Drosophila melanogaster: one gene and its partners. The protein of the gene in region 3 interacts with the protein of the main gene of each other region in a pairwise test. Each region holds a gene or a part of one and is shown on either strand. Other genes may lie near its edges.

What was found. The genes of interacting proteins can lie anywhere in the genome.
Region 1: the proteins of CaBP1 (region 3) and CG18259 interact in a two-hybrid assay, tested with the Drosophila melanogaster proteins (one large-scale study listed by BioGRID).
Region 2: the proteins of CaBP1 (region 3) and Mzt1 interact in a two-hybrid assay, tested with the Drosophila melanogaster proteins (one large-scale study listed by BioGRID).

What each region holds. Positions count from the first base shown.
Region 1 is NC_004354.4:18,780,754-18,785,258, forward strand, and holds CG18259 (uncharacterized protein), read right to left. Parts: upstream 2,742-4,505; 5' UTR 2,623-2,741; coding exon 2,543-2,622; intron 2,481-2,542; coding exon 1,960-2,480; intron 1,903-1,959; coding exon 1,161-1,902; intron 1,105-1,160; coding exon 1,023-1,104; 3' UTR 512-1,022; downstream 1-511. Other genes in the region: CG6891 (uncharacterized protein), read left to right, coding at 1-251, 325-441.
Region 2 is NT_037436.4:2,387,440-2,390,161, forward strand, and holds Mzt1 (mitotic spindle organizing protein 1), read left to right. Parts: upstream 1-1,825; 5' UTR 1,826-1,896; coding exon 1,897-2,145; 3' UTR 2,146-2,211; downstream 2,212-2,722. Other genes in the region: Svil (supervillin), read left to right, coding at 1,328-1,342; CG32299 (uncharacterized protein), read right to left, coding at 2,282-2,401, 2,462-2,722.
Region 3 is NT_033779.5:16,354,356-16,358,658, forward strand, and holds CaBP1 (calcium-binding protein 1), read right to left. Parts: upstream 2,381-4,303; 5' UTR 2,198-2,380; coding exon 2,185-2,197; intron 2,116-2,184; coding exon 827-2,115; 3' UTR 531-826; downstream 1-530. UniProt on the Drosophila melanogaster protein: Binds to both apoptotic cells and phagocytes and promotes Drpr-dependent phagocytosis of apoptotic cells.

The DNA of each region.
Region 1 (4,505 bases), on a different chromosome or scaffold from region 3:
ACACCGAGTGGGCGGTATTCAAGTTCGATGGCGCCCAGATTATTGTACATGCGCGCGGTCAGTGCTTTGAGGAATTCCGACAGCAGTTCGGCGACTCGGAGCGCGCCTTTGGCTACATACGCATCCAGATGGGTGACGAGATGTCCAAGCGCAAAAAGTTCATCTTCCTGACGTGGATCGGGCAGGAGGTGGGCGTCATCCAGAGGGCCAAGATGTCCACGGACAAGGCGCTGATCAAGGATGTCCTCAACGTGAGTAGCCAATAGCTAGAGATGCCAGAGCCCAGAGGCAGAAATAGATCCTCTCATCTCTAATCTCTTGCAGAATTTTGCCGTGGAACTTCAGGCGGGAGTGGAGGCCGAGCTGGACATTGAGCTCTTCCGTGAAGCACTGAACCGTGCCGGCGGCGCCAACTACGGAACGGGCATCCGGGATAACTAAGCGGCCTCCAAGTTACTTTACATATACATTTTTTTTTGCAACTCTTAACTGCTTACCAAACTGCTCCTTTCTCTTTAATTATTATGAATTAATTTTATGAAATTTAAAAACTGTACATTTTATGAAATATTATACAAGCAATTGTAACATTACTGGGTCCTCTTATTTATCGTATAATCATAATCCATAGTGTCATTCAAAAAAGGTAAAAGAAAAGTTTTCAATACCAAATTTCAAGAGCGGATGCAAAATCATTATCAATGCCATACATTTAATTGTGTATATAGTGGGACTGATGAATTACTTTGATGATAAGACAAAAATTTTAGCCACCTAATACTGAATACTGAAGTGGACAGATATGCCAGAATTTGCATTAGAAAATTCAAGTTTCTATAGTAAAGAAATGTTCTCGTTTAAACTAGTCTGGTTTTCTGAACATACGCTGGATGGATCGATTCGAATTTAATAAGCGCGAAATGAAAATGGACTACGTTGTTGAACTAAATACTACGGAGATGATGAAAATGATGAGAAAAATTATCTAGTTGCTTTAGTTCCCGGGCTCTGCCTCTCGCTTCCTAGCGGACCCTGAAGAGTACCGAGTGAAGTGCATCGATGTCCACCTCCACGCCAGACGAGTTTGTGGTCACGGTGCGAGAGCTACGGCCGAGAACGTTGAACAATACTGCTTGGTATCTTTAAAGCATATCACTCACCTGGCTTTGTGCACCGAGCGACGGGAGGAGTGCGGATTAACCAGCACACAGTGCATGGGCTGGTCATCGAACTGACGATGGTGATAGGTATCTACGGCCTTCTCGGCATGTTCCAGTGACTTGTAAATAACTTCGGCGGTGCCGGGACGCACCACACGAGCGTCGTACACTGGGCCGATGTCGCTAAAAAGCTCGCGAATATCCGCAGTAGTCACGTTAGTATGCAGATTGCTCACCAGCAGGCGGTATCCATCCTTTGTGTTCGACGTACGCAGCGACAATGGGGATGGCGAACGGCGCTTGTTCTTCGATGGAGCAGCTGCATCACCATCACTATCAGTACCGCTATCGCTATCCCTAGCACCACCGCCACCAACAGCCTTTCTCCGGTTCTCGTTGGCGTAGATGCCATGAGAAATGTGAGGATCCCTCTTACCGACAAACAGACGAGACCGCAGCGATTCTGGGAGTTTACTTGTGCTTGCTGTGTCGCGGTGGCGGCGCTCGAGAGGCTCCTTGGTGGTATTTGAGCGTCCAACTACGAGTCGGTTGGTCAGCGAAGGACGCTCAATGCGATTGCGGGCCGCCTCGTAAATGGAGAATGCATTGTTATCTATTTTGTTATTTAGTGGGGCCATGGACATCTCCACGTCGTCGCCGCGGTTCAGGTCGAGCCCACCAATTGAGTAGCGTGGCGACGCTTGCTTCATTTGCCCTAAGTGCAGTGTGCGAGATATTTCCTCTGAAAGTAGAAGAGTGCTTTTTAGGAACGGCTTGGCAGAGAAAGGCACTAACTAACCATCCTCGAGGTCCTGCATATTATCAAGATCAATATAGCGTCGTGGAGCAAAGGGTTTGCCCGGCTTATGGGATCTGGGGTCAAAGGTTCGACGCAAGCCGGACAACATGTGGTTACCCAGTTCAACGACCCCGTCGTCCGAGTCCCATTTCGCCTGAATGGTGCCGTCCGCATGGTTTGACATGCTAAGGCGGTGACCAAACTGACCGATGTGCACTCCCTTTCCGCGTGCGCGATGTGATGGCTCAAACGACTCTTCTTCGTCATCAATAAGTATTGGGCCCGCCGAACGGGCCTTCTTTCGCTCCAGCAACAGCTGGCGGGCATCGATGCCCGAGTCGCGCACGCTCTTGTTGATCAGATCCCGGGCATCGGCTATCTTGGCCCGTGTCTTCGCGGCGATCGTGTTTCTGGCATCGAAGGTGCGCTTTGCCGGCGTATCAGAGTGAGATCCTCGGGCACCCGATGGCTTGAAAAAAGGCTTGTTCAGCAGCTGGCGCGGCTTGGAGAAGTTCGCATTGCTGCAATGGAAAACGCATTGAGTGACATTCTATTTTTTCGGCTGTCCTGTAAATGTACTTACAACTTTCTGTCGAGGGGACGATAGCCGCGTTGCCCGCGCTTCCGCTCTATAATCTCGTCCAGACTCAAATCGATGTCCATGGCTCACAGTATACGCTTTTCACACCTTTTCCTAAGCTATGTGTGAAGTAAAAACAACCAGATTCAAATTATCCTGACTATTCGAACTACGTTCGTAAAAAAAAAATAGGACTGGCGTTTCACTGGTGACACTTGGGGTGGCAAACTATCGTCCAGCACTATCGATAGCAACTATCGCTTAAAAACATCTATGTTATTCTGGATATAAAATGTAAAAAAGAAACAGCAATATACTAACACTTATACAAATATACGATTAATACTATTAAACTACTTGTTCATTTACAAAAACAATTTTTGCATGTCTTAACATTAGTTTGTAGAAGATTGAAAATTCTCAGAACTGTCAATGATATATTAAGCTACATAATACGTTTTATCCACTGACATTACGAGTCACTAATTCACAGTGTGCCCCTTCGCACAACCGAGAACAATCGCGCTTAGGTGCTAGCCGACGTCTGGTCTGGTAACACTGATACCTGCGCAACAACAAAAACAACACCACATACTAAAACAAAAACCTCCGTGTGCTCTTCAGTCCTTGAACGCTCACCGGGACTGCCATTGTATGACTTCGATGAACAGAATTTGGCTTCACACTCTCTTCCTTCAGTGTAGGCCATGAGTGCGCCTCTTTTCACCCTTTAGTCGCTTTTTACGACAAGCCGGGAACGCTCAGGTAGTATTCTTCACTCGCCACCACACAGGACACCTGTTCGGGTTTAGCCACCTTCTCTGTTGGCCATCTCGTCTGATCGGACACGTTTAATCATTTTAATGATTAGACTGTGTCCCAGCTCCCATGCCTCGCTCTTTGCCAATATAGCTGCGAACAAGCCACTAGGGCTGAACGGAGCACCTGACTTCGTCTTTAGCTGCTCCCTCTCCATCGCAAACCTGGAGCAGTGCATTAGCACATGCTCTTCTGTTTTCTCACAAATGACGCAGAACAATCGACGTAGATAGGCCCGAATGCAGCCATGGTCCGTGTGAAACTGGGTTAGGTGGTAGTCCAAGCATTTGTGTTGGCACTCTGCCCAAACCGCCGACTCAGGAATGAGCTGGTAAGACCACCTGTTCTGCCACTCACCCAACAGCCACTCGTCGGTAAGCGCCACCCCGCTTTAGGCCGAGAGCCTTGATCTCCGATCAATTGGCGGCCTGCCAGAGTTAGTGCCGCGTCTTCACATATTGTCCTGAATCCTCTAATGAGCCTGAGGGCCATGGCTCCTTTCAGGTATGAACCCCTGCTTGTAGCATTGCTACAGATTGGTGCAGCGTACAGCAGCGAAGCCAGTTTCCTGGCCAGATAGCTTGGACCACCGATGTTGGGCACCAGTCTAGCCAATGAAGAAACTGTGACTGATGCATTCTTGCTGCCGTAACTCGCGTGGTTCTATCATAGCACCCAGGTACTTGAGGGACTCTTGGGAGGTCACCTGTGTCGCATTGACAGAGGACTAGCATATTCTCCACCTTTTTCCTGCTGCTTAGTACTTACTGCTTCGGTCTTGCGAGCCGCTATTGCTAGCCCGGCTTTCCAGTGGACGGCAGCTCCAATCGTGGTGTTACATTTGTCCTGCAACTCTGCAATTGTTTTGGCGACTGCTGTAATTGCCGCATCGTCTGCAAAACAGTGCAGCTCTACTCCCAAGGGCCTGTTGATGCTCCTCTACTATCGTATCCTCGTCCAGTCCACTGCAGGATAGTGCTATTCTTTGAGCTGCCGCACAGATGCCAAATCATTGACCGTCGCCTCTAGATCGCTTTTATACTTGGGAAAGCTTCCCGAGGCTTTTCCCACTACTTCGAGCAACAGCTCATCTAGCTGAGTTCTCCGAATTCTTCTGCCCAGTTCGCTAAGGCTCGGGTCCGATCTT
Region 2 (2,722 bases), on a different chromosome or scaffold from region 3:
TCCACAAGCTGAGATATGCGCCTGGGTGTGGAGAGATGAATAGTTATGAGGTTTTAGGTTTGGCTAGCCAATCTTGGTTTTCCAAAGGGTGCCTGACACTATATATTTAGTTTTATTTACTATCATAAAAGTACGAATGATCCACTTCTATCCCATGACCAACTCACGTATGTTCGCCCCATGCTATTCATCCCTTAGTCTTTTCACCCATTAAAACCATTTAGCATTCATTAAGCCCAATTTCTGCCCCATCCATGGTGCTCGGAATAATCAACAAATTAACTAAATTCCTAGTGGGCGCCTCCATCCCCAGAATAATCCAAATTCCGAAGTTGTGACATCAAGAAATGTCGAAGCGATTTCAAGTGCAGCCCCGGGGAATCTTGGGAACATATTCGAACATTCCCAATCGTCCGCAACCTGTTTGATCCGTTGGTTATCAAAGATATTTCCAAACATGTTCGAAGCGAACCTCATGATGAGGTTGCATGGAATCCATAAGATACAATCCACAAGCTGCTTTGCAGCTACAGCCCAGCGGAATTTCAATTCAGTTCGCGCTCAACTCACAGACACGATGGTCATTCAAACGCGTTAACGAATAATAATTTAAAATAATATTCAAATGATAAATACACTAAAATATGCACTAAACCACGCACTAAACCTAAATCCACGAACTGTACATATTTGTGTAAATAAATAAAGTATAAACAAACAGCGAAGAGAAACCTCGAAATACCAATAGACCGCTCAAGTTCCCATACATTGAGCTGGCCAATCGTGTTTGAAATTATTTGTTTGATCGATTTTGTGCGGTGTGAACACCTTGTAAAGGCATTTGCAAACCTATTGCCATAGCAAGCAAAGTGTGTTAAGCTGGGAAACACCCTCTGAAAAGTTTATGTACTACCCCCTTCGATCGGTCGAATAATAACTACCACAAGACAAGCATTAAGTTTGTGTTTACGTGCTGCTGACTAATTGCGTTTATATAGCCCGACTATATAAAACTGTACAATAAGACACGGCCAACTGTTTTAGTTTGAACGCCTCAGTTAAAGCTGCAAATTGCTTCGCTACCAAGTGAAGTTCTACATTTTCGCAGCGAAAACGTTTTTCAATTGATTTTCATTAAGTGAAAAAATCCCGAGATTGTCTTCTTTTCGGTTTCCAATTGATCGCAATTGCACCAGACCCATAAAACATATATACAAAGTGAGGCTGCATTCCAAGTAGAGCAAGACAGTAACCACTTCATCATCACAACATCAGATGCTGCATAATTAGCATTCGTTGCGTGGAGCGTCGAAAAAAAAAGCGGAAAATGTATCTCATACAGGTGAGGCCAAGCGATACAATGGATCCCCCTCTCACGATTAAGTGTTTGCTCTTACTTATCACATGCTGGCGGCACTGCACTTGCCGACTGAAAAAGATCTTCATTTAAGCGTTTTTTAATTGTCCGCCAGCTGAGATTTTCAGCATTTACAATTCTCCCCTCCGTTTGAAATGACTGTGAGAGGCACGCATCTCTGGCGTATATAATTTGTTTAATTTGTAGCTAATTTATCTTTCCACTTGGCAGCGGGCAGATCGGATGTCGAGCAAATGGGGGGGGGTTCACTGGAGCAGGTGCCTCATTACTGAACTTTGAACTTGAAACGGTGTTACGATTTACAGCTGGTAATGGATTACGGTTAGGCATCGGGGTTCGGGTTAGCAGAACAAATGTGCAGGCCTGAGATTATGAAGGGAACTCAAATATTTTGACATAACCATTAATCATTTGTAAATGATATACATTCAATCGATTGCTTTTGAGTTATCTGTCAGCATTGCCCTAAATTATTTAGAGATTTATTCCGAGTTTATATCAAAATTTGTGGAATAAGTATGTCAGAACAACCGACACAACATAAATCCGACGATCGCTTCACTATCCTGCAAACCTTATCGGATGTAGTGGACTCTGGTCTCAGCAAGGAAGCCCTTAAAATCTGCATCGAACTGGTGGACAATGGTGTCTGTGGTGGAGCACTAGCACATGTAATTCGAACCATTAGAGAGGAGATTCAAGATGATGAAGATAAGGAAAGTGATGATTCCGGAGAATCGGCTGCATCAACAGACTCAACTTTGTAGGAAATGAATATAAAATATATTTTTGTGTTTATATTTTGTGTTTGTTAAATTAAAAGTTCAACTTTCCGATGGTCTGTTTCCGAAATTTGTAAGACGCTGGTTCTTGGACATCCAATTGCATGATTTTTGAAGGCTTTCAAGAAGACTTCGCCACTCTATTTGCATTCATCAAACGCAAGCGACTGGCGTTTCTGAAAACGGTATATGTGCCGGCCATGATAATGAAAAGTTGCACCACTTTGGCTTGATAGTAGGTCTAAGATGATAATGTGTTTAGATAAAAGCTTATAGCAAACCGAAGCAACAAACGACTCACCTGTCTTATATAGATGGGCAATGGAATGTGCGATCGATGAACATGGTAATCCATTCCTCTGAACAGCCAATAGCCCGGCCACGCCCCCAAACTGGCGAAAAGAAATGGTGCTGCAGTACTGTAGGCCTTTTCAAAGGATTGCGAATGCACCAGTAAACGTATCTCCTCGCCAAGATTATGCATCCGAGGTGGGTGGGCTATTGCCTTGGCTGGTTCCTCCTCCTTTCGCTTAAGCCTCGTCGAGAACTTCTCCTTCAGATT
Region 3 (4,303 bases):
CACGAATACATTTAAGAAATCTTCAGTTTGTGCATTTAGACCAGCATGAGTATCCTTCTATATATTGTGTCAAAAAAAACGTTTTTAGACGTTATATAGCATTAAGTCTATCAAAGTTTATATACAAATCTTTTTGGACATTTTTATGTGAGTTTTACATAAAATAAATGGTTTTACCTCACCCAACGGTAAAATTCTCACACATTTTATTGGAATTTGGGGTGGTAATGAACTAATTCTTCTGTATTCTATATTAAATTCATTGATTTACAATAACTTTATATTTATACAGCGCTACGTTGGAATACATAAAAAACTAATATGTATATCACTTGTTGATTCTTGGATGTGATGGTGCTATTGAGTTTTTGAAGAAAACAAGCATATTTGATGATTCATTTCAAAGAAATAACTGAAGAATGATCTATTCATAAGCCAAACTCATTTCCATAAGGAAGAAAATGTAAACTGAATTTTACGGATATTAAGAATTCTTTTCTTTGTATAAAATTCAACTTATGCATTTTTTTAAACTCGCTAAGCACGAAACGCGCTTTTCCGAACCCGATTAACACTTGCCCAGAATTTACACGTTTTGTTGCACAGTTTATTCATTTTGTGGTACATAGTTTATATGATCGTTGGTTTCGATTCGTTTAGATCTATGTGAGGATTGTAGAAAAACGCTAAAAGATAATTAAGAGTTATTTATATTTAGATACGATGGCTGACTAATGAATATCATTCAGAATGCAAGTGTTTGTTAGTTTAATAAGTGGAAATTTGAGCTTGGGCCGCACAGTCTTGATTTCCGATCCTCACAGCCTTACAGCTCGTCCTTATCCAGATCGATGTCGCTCAGATCGATGTCCTCCTCGGTGGGCAGTTGGCCATCTTTGCCGTCCCAAGGATCCACGGACACAATCGCCGGCTTTTTGGCTCCGCGAACAGGCGCCGTGTGGCCACGTCCGTAGGAGATGTCGCGCAGGAACTCGTTGATGCCGTCCTTGGAGAAGGAGCCCTTGAGCACGGAGAATTTCATCTTCTTGAAGTTGACCACAGCCATGGCCGGATAGCCGAATCCGCCCACTTCGAGCGACTCTTCCAGGGCCAACTGCTGGCCACCTTCTGCCCAGGCCCAGCCCCATTGCTTCTGCTTGAACTTCTCGCCCAGGGTGCGCAATGTGTCGAGGAACTTGTTGCGGCACTTGGCATCGCAGTCGAGAATGTGTGGCAGAACGGACACGACGCACAATGGCTTTCCTTCGCAGGCAGTTTCAAAAGTCGATTCATTGATAATCTCGATGAGTTCGGGTGCTGGCACATTGGCCACATGCTTGTCACTGGCCCAGGATACAATATCCGAGGCAGTGCGTCCGCCATCATACTCCTGGGCATCACTGGCTCGCTTGGAGCCCGCAGGGAAGAACTTAATGGTAGGATACCCACGCACATTGTATTCGGCGGCCTTGCTCTGATGCGCGGTGGCATCCAGGGCGCCCAACTTAACCTTGCCCTTCAATTCTTTGGCGGCCTTGGCCCATTCGGGTGCCAGGTTCTTGCAGTGACCACACCAGGGGGCGAAGAATTCCACCAGCCATATGTCGTCGGAGTTCAGGACCAGTTTGTCAAAGTTGTCCTCGGTGAGTTCGATGACATCATCGCCGGACGAGCTGCCGGAACCGCCGGAAGACGATCCACCGCCGCCGCCCAGGACACCCTGCACCTTCTTCTTGACCTCCGCCAGAGCGGCTTCAGCGATGGCCTTAGCGGTTCGCTGACCATTGTAGTCCGTGGGCGACTTCTTGTTGGCGCCAAAGATCTTGATGGTGGGAAAGCCACGTACACCGAACTGGCCACTCAGCGTGCTGTCCGCATCGGCATTCACGGAGCCCACTTTCACGACTCCCTTCAATGCCTTGGCCAGCTTCTTGTACTCGGGCACCAGGCTCTGACAATGGCCGCACCATGGAGCATAGAACTCCACGACCCAGATGGCGTCGTCTTTCAGCACCTCCCGGTCGAAATTCGAGGGCGTCAGCTCCACAACGCCATCGCTGGGCGAATAGAAGGCACTAACGCTGCCCACGACAAATGCCAGCAACAAAATGCTCGCTGCGGGGGCGTATTGAAAATGTATTATTAACATAATTTGTCTATTTCGTGCATGGGCCGGAAACTTACCCAGTTGCCTCATCTTTCTTTTTTGAGTTTGCGAAACCGCTTACGTGTCTATCTCTTGCGAGTTTATCTCAACAAATTCTTAATCAACGCGTCTTGTCGATAGGCTCTTTTAAACTAAACTATGTGTAGAGATGCGGCTTATATTTTGCTAAAAAAAAAGAGTACACGTCACTGCGAGTGCGGCGTACTCTCGATAGTTCGATAGGCGTTTCAATACTTTGTGACTATCGATGTAGAAGCCGGCAAATGCGGATACTGCTGATAATGTGAAATAAGCCAAATCTTATATACTTTTACAAAAACAAAGGCGTGATTTTATTTGTAATTCTAATTATATATACGTACAAATAACGAAAGGAAAATGGTCCGAGAAGTTTATTGCCACTATCGATATATTTCGGTATTTTAGACTGGTTCTAAAAATCCTTCAGAGCTGCCAGATAAGTTAAAAATGAGCTTATTGACAACACTGTGTGATTTGGCGGCTATTTCAAGGTTGATTTCTTAACACATTCATTAAAACCAATGCAAAAAACTTGCAAATTTCAGTGATGATACTTTTGACGTAGAATGACAAAGTTCTACTTCTACTACCCCAATGTACTGCTTTCTTTATCTCTAAGGTAGATTAAATTATCTATTTATTTCTCTCACTGTAAAAGTTAACTGCATTATTTTTAGTAAGCAACAGGCAACAATATTAAGAATATTGAAAAAACAAAGGTACATATATAAAACAATTTATTGGTTAAATGATTTTATATAATATAACATTTTCTCTCTTTCATTTCAGCCTACTATCCTTAATTGTATTTACCTTGTTAATTCCCCATTTTAATTGTTTCCTTTCCCAACGTTTTGTTTGATTTGTGTTTTCTGGAAGCTTTGGCTTAATTTACTCGCACATTGTTCTGGCTCTCCAGCTTGTTCTCCCACTGCCCTCCCCACCCACCAGCCAACATTCGAATGACCCCTGACCCTCGCCATTTTCGTCTACGTTCGTTGCGTGCGCATATGAGATAAAATATGTGGTCAATTTTACTTAATAGCGACTTAGTAGTAGTGTTGCCAAGATTTATGTGACGTTCATATTGGCACAGAAAGACACAGAGTCAGACAATTTCCTTTTCTGCCATTCAAGGGTTAATTGGAGGGAGCTGTTCAGTCGGGGGGACTGGATTTTCCCTTTATTTTGCGTGTTATTTTTATGATTATTGAATTTTAATGCATATCGAATGCACACATAAAGATTCAATGACACAATGTCATAACTTCTCGGGCGGCTACAAAACCGGTGGGTGTGGCCAACCCTTTTTTCCAAAAGTAAAGTTTATGCCACATTTGGCCTGCACTTTTTGCTTTCAGCATAAAAAGGCGTAATATTTGTATTAACTTCGGTAAAAGAGAGTCTGGCCCCAGATAAACTTACAGCACTGAAAAAAATAATATCTAATAAAACATAAATATTAGACACATAAAAAAGAAACCACCACATTACTTTATTACAATATCTGCGCAATAAGTTTAATATTAAATTTAAAGATGAATCTAGCTTAATATTATTATTTCTAGGTTTATCACTAAGTTAGAATTCGTTTCAGTGCTCGTACTTCGCCACACTGGCTTATCAAACAAACAATTTGAATGCCCAGCGGAGCGATCTTTTTATTGATACGCTACGGTGAGGGTGCGGCATAAATATTAACCCCTTGTTGCCATTGCTCCTGTTGTTGTGTCTGCACTTCTGACTTGCCTGACGCCCTGTCAAAACACCTTTCCCGAAGGATGTGCGTCTGTCAGTGACTTCAATCTTGCAGATGTGGGGCGTTTATGAGTGTGCTCACTTGCAAAAATAACTTTCTTTTTGCTACTTTTATAAAAAAATATATATGTATTAAATAAAAAATAAAAAAATGAAAAATGAGTGTATAAAGCAAAAAAAAAAATTTTTTTTATATATAAGGTATAAAGTATATTATAAAAATGTATATATAACATAAAGAGCAATGAAATATAAATACTAGTGAGCTAAATGGAATTTCTATTAATATGTAGATGTAGCTTGATTTTTAAGGCGCATTTTAGATAAGGAAAATATTTCATATCAGCTTTTTGTTCA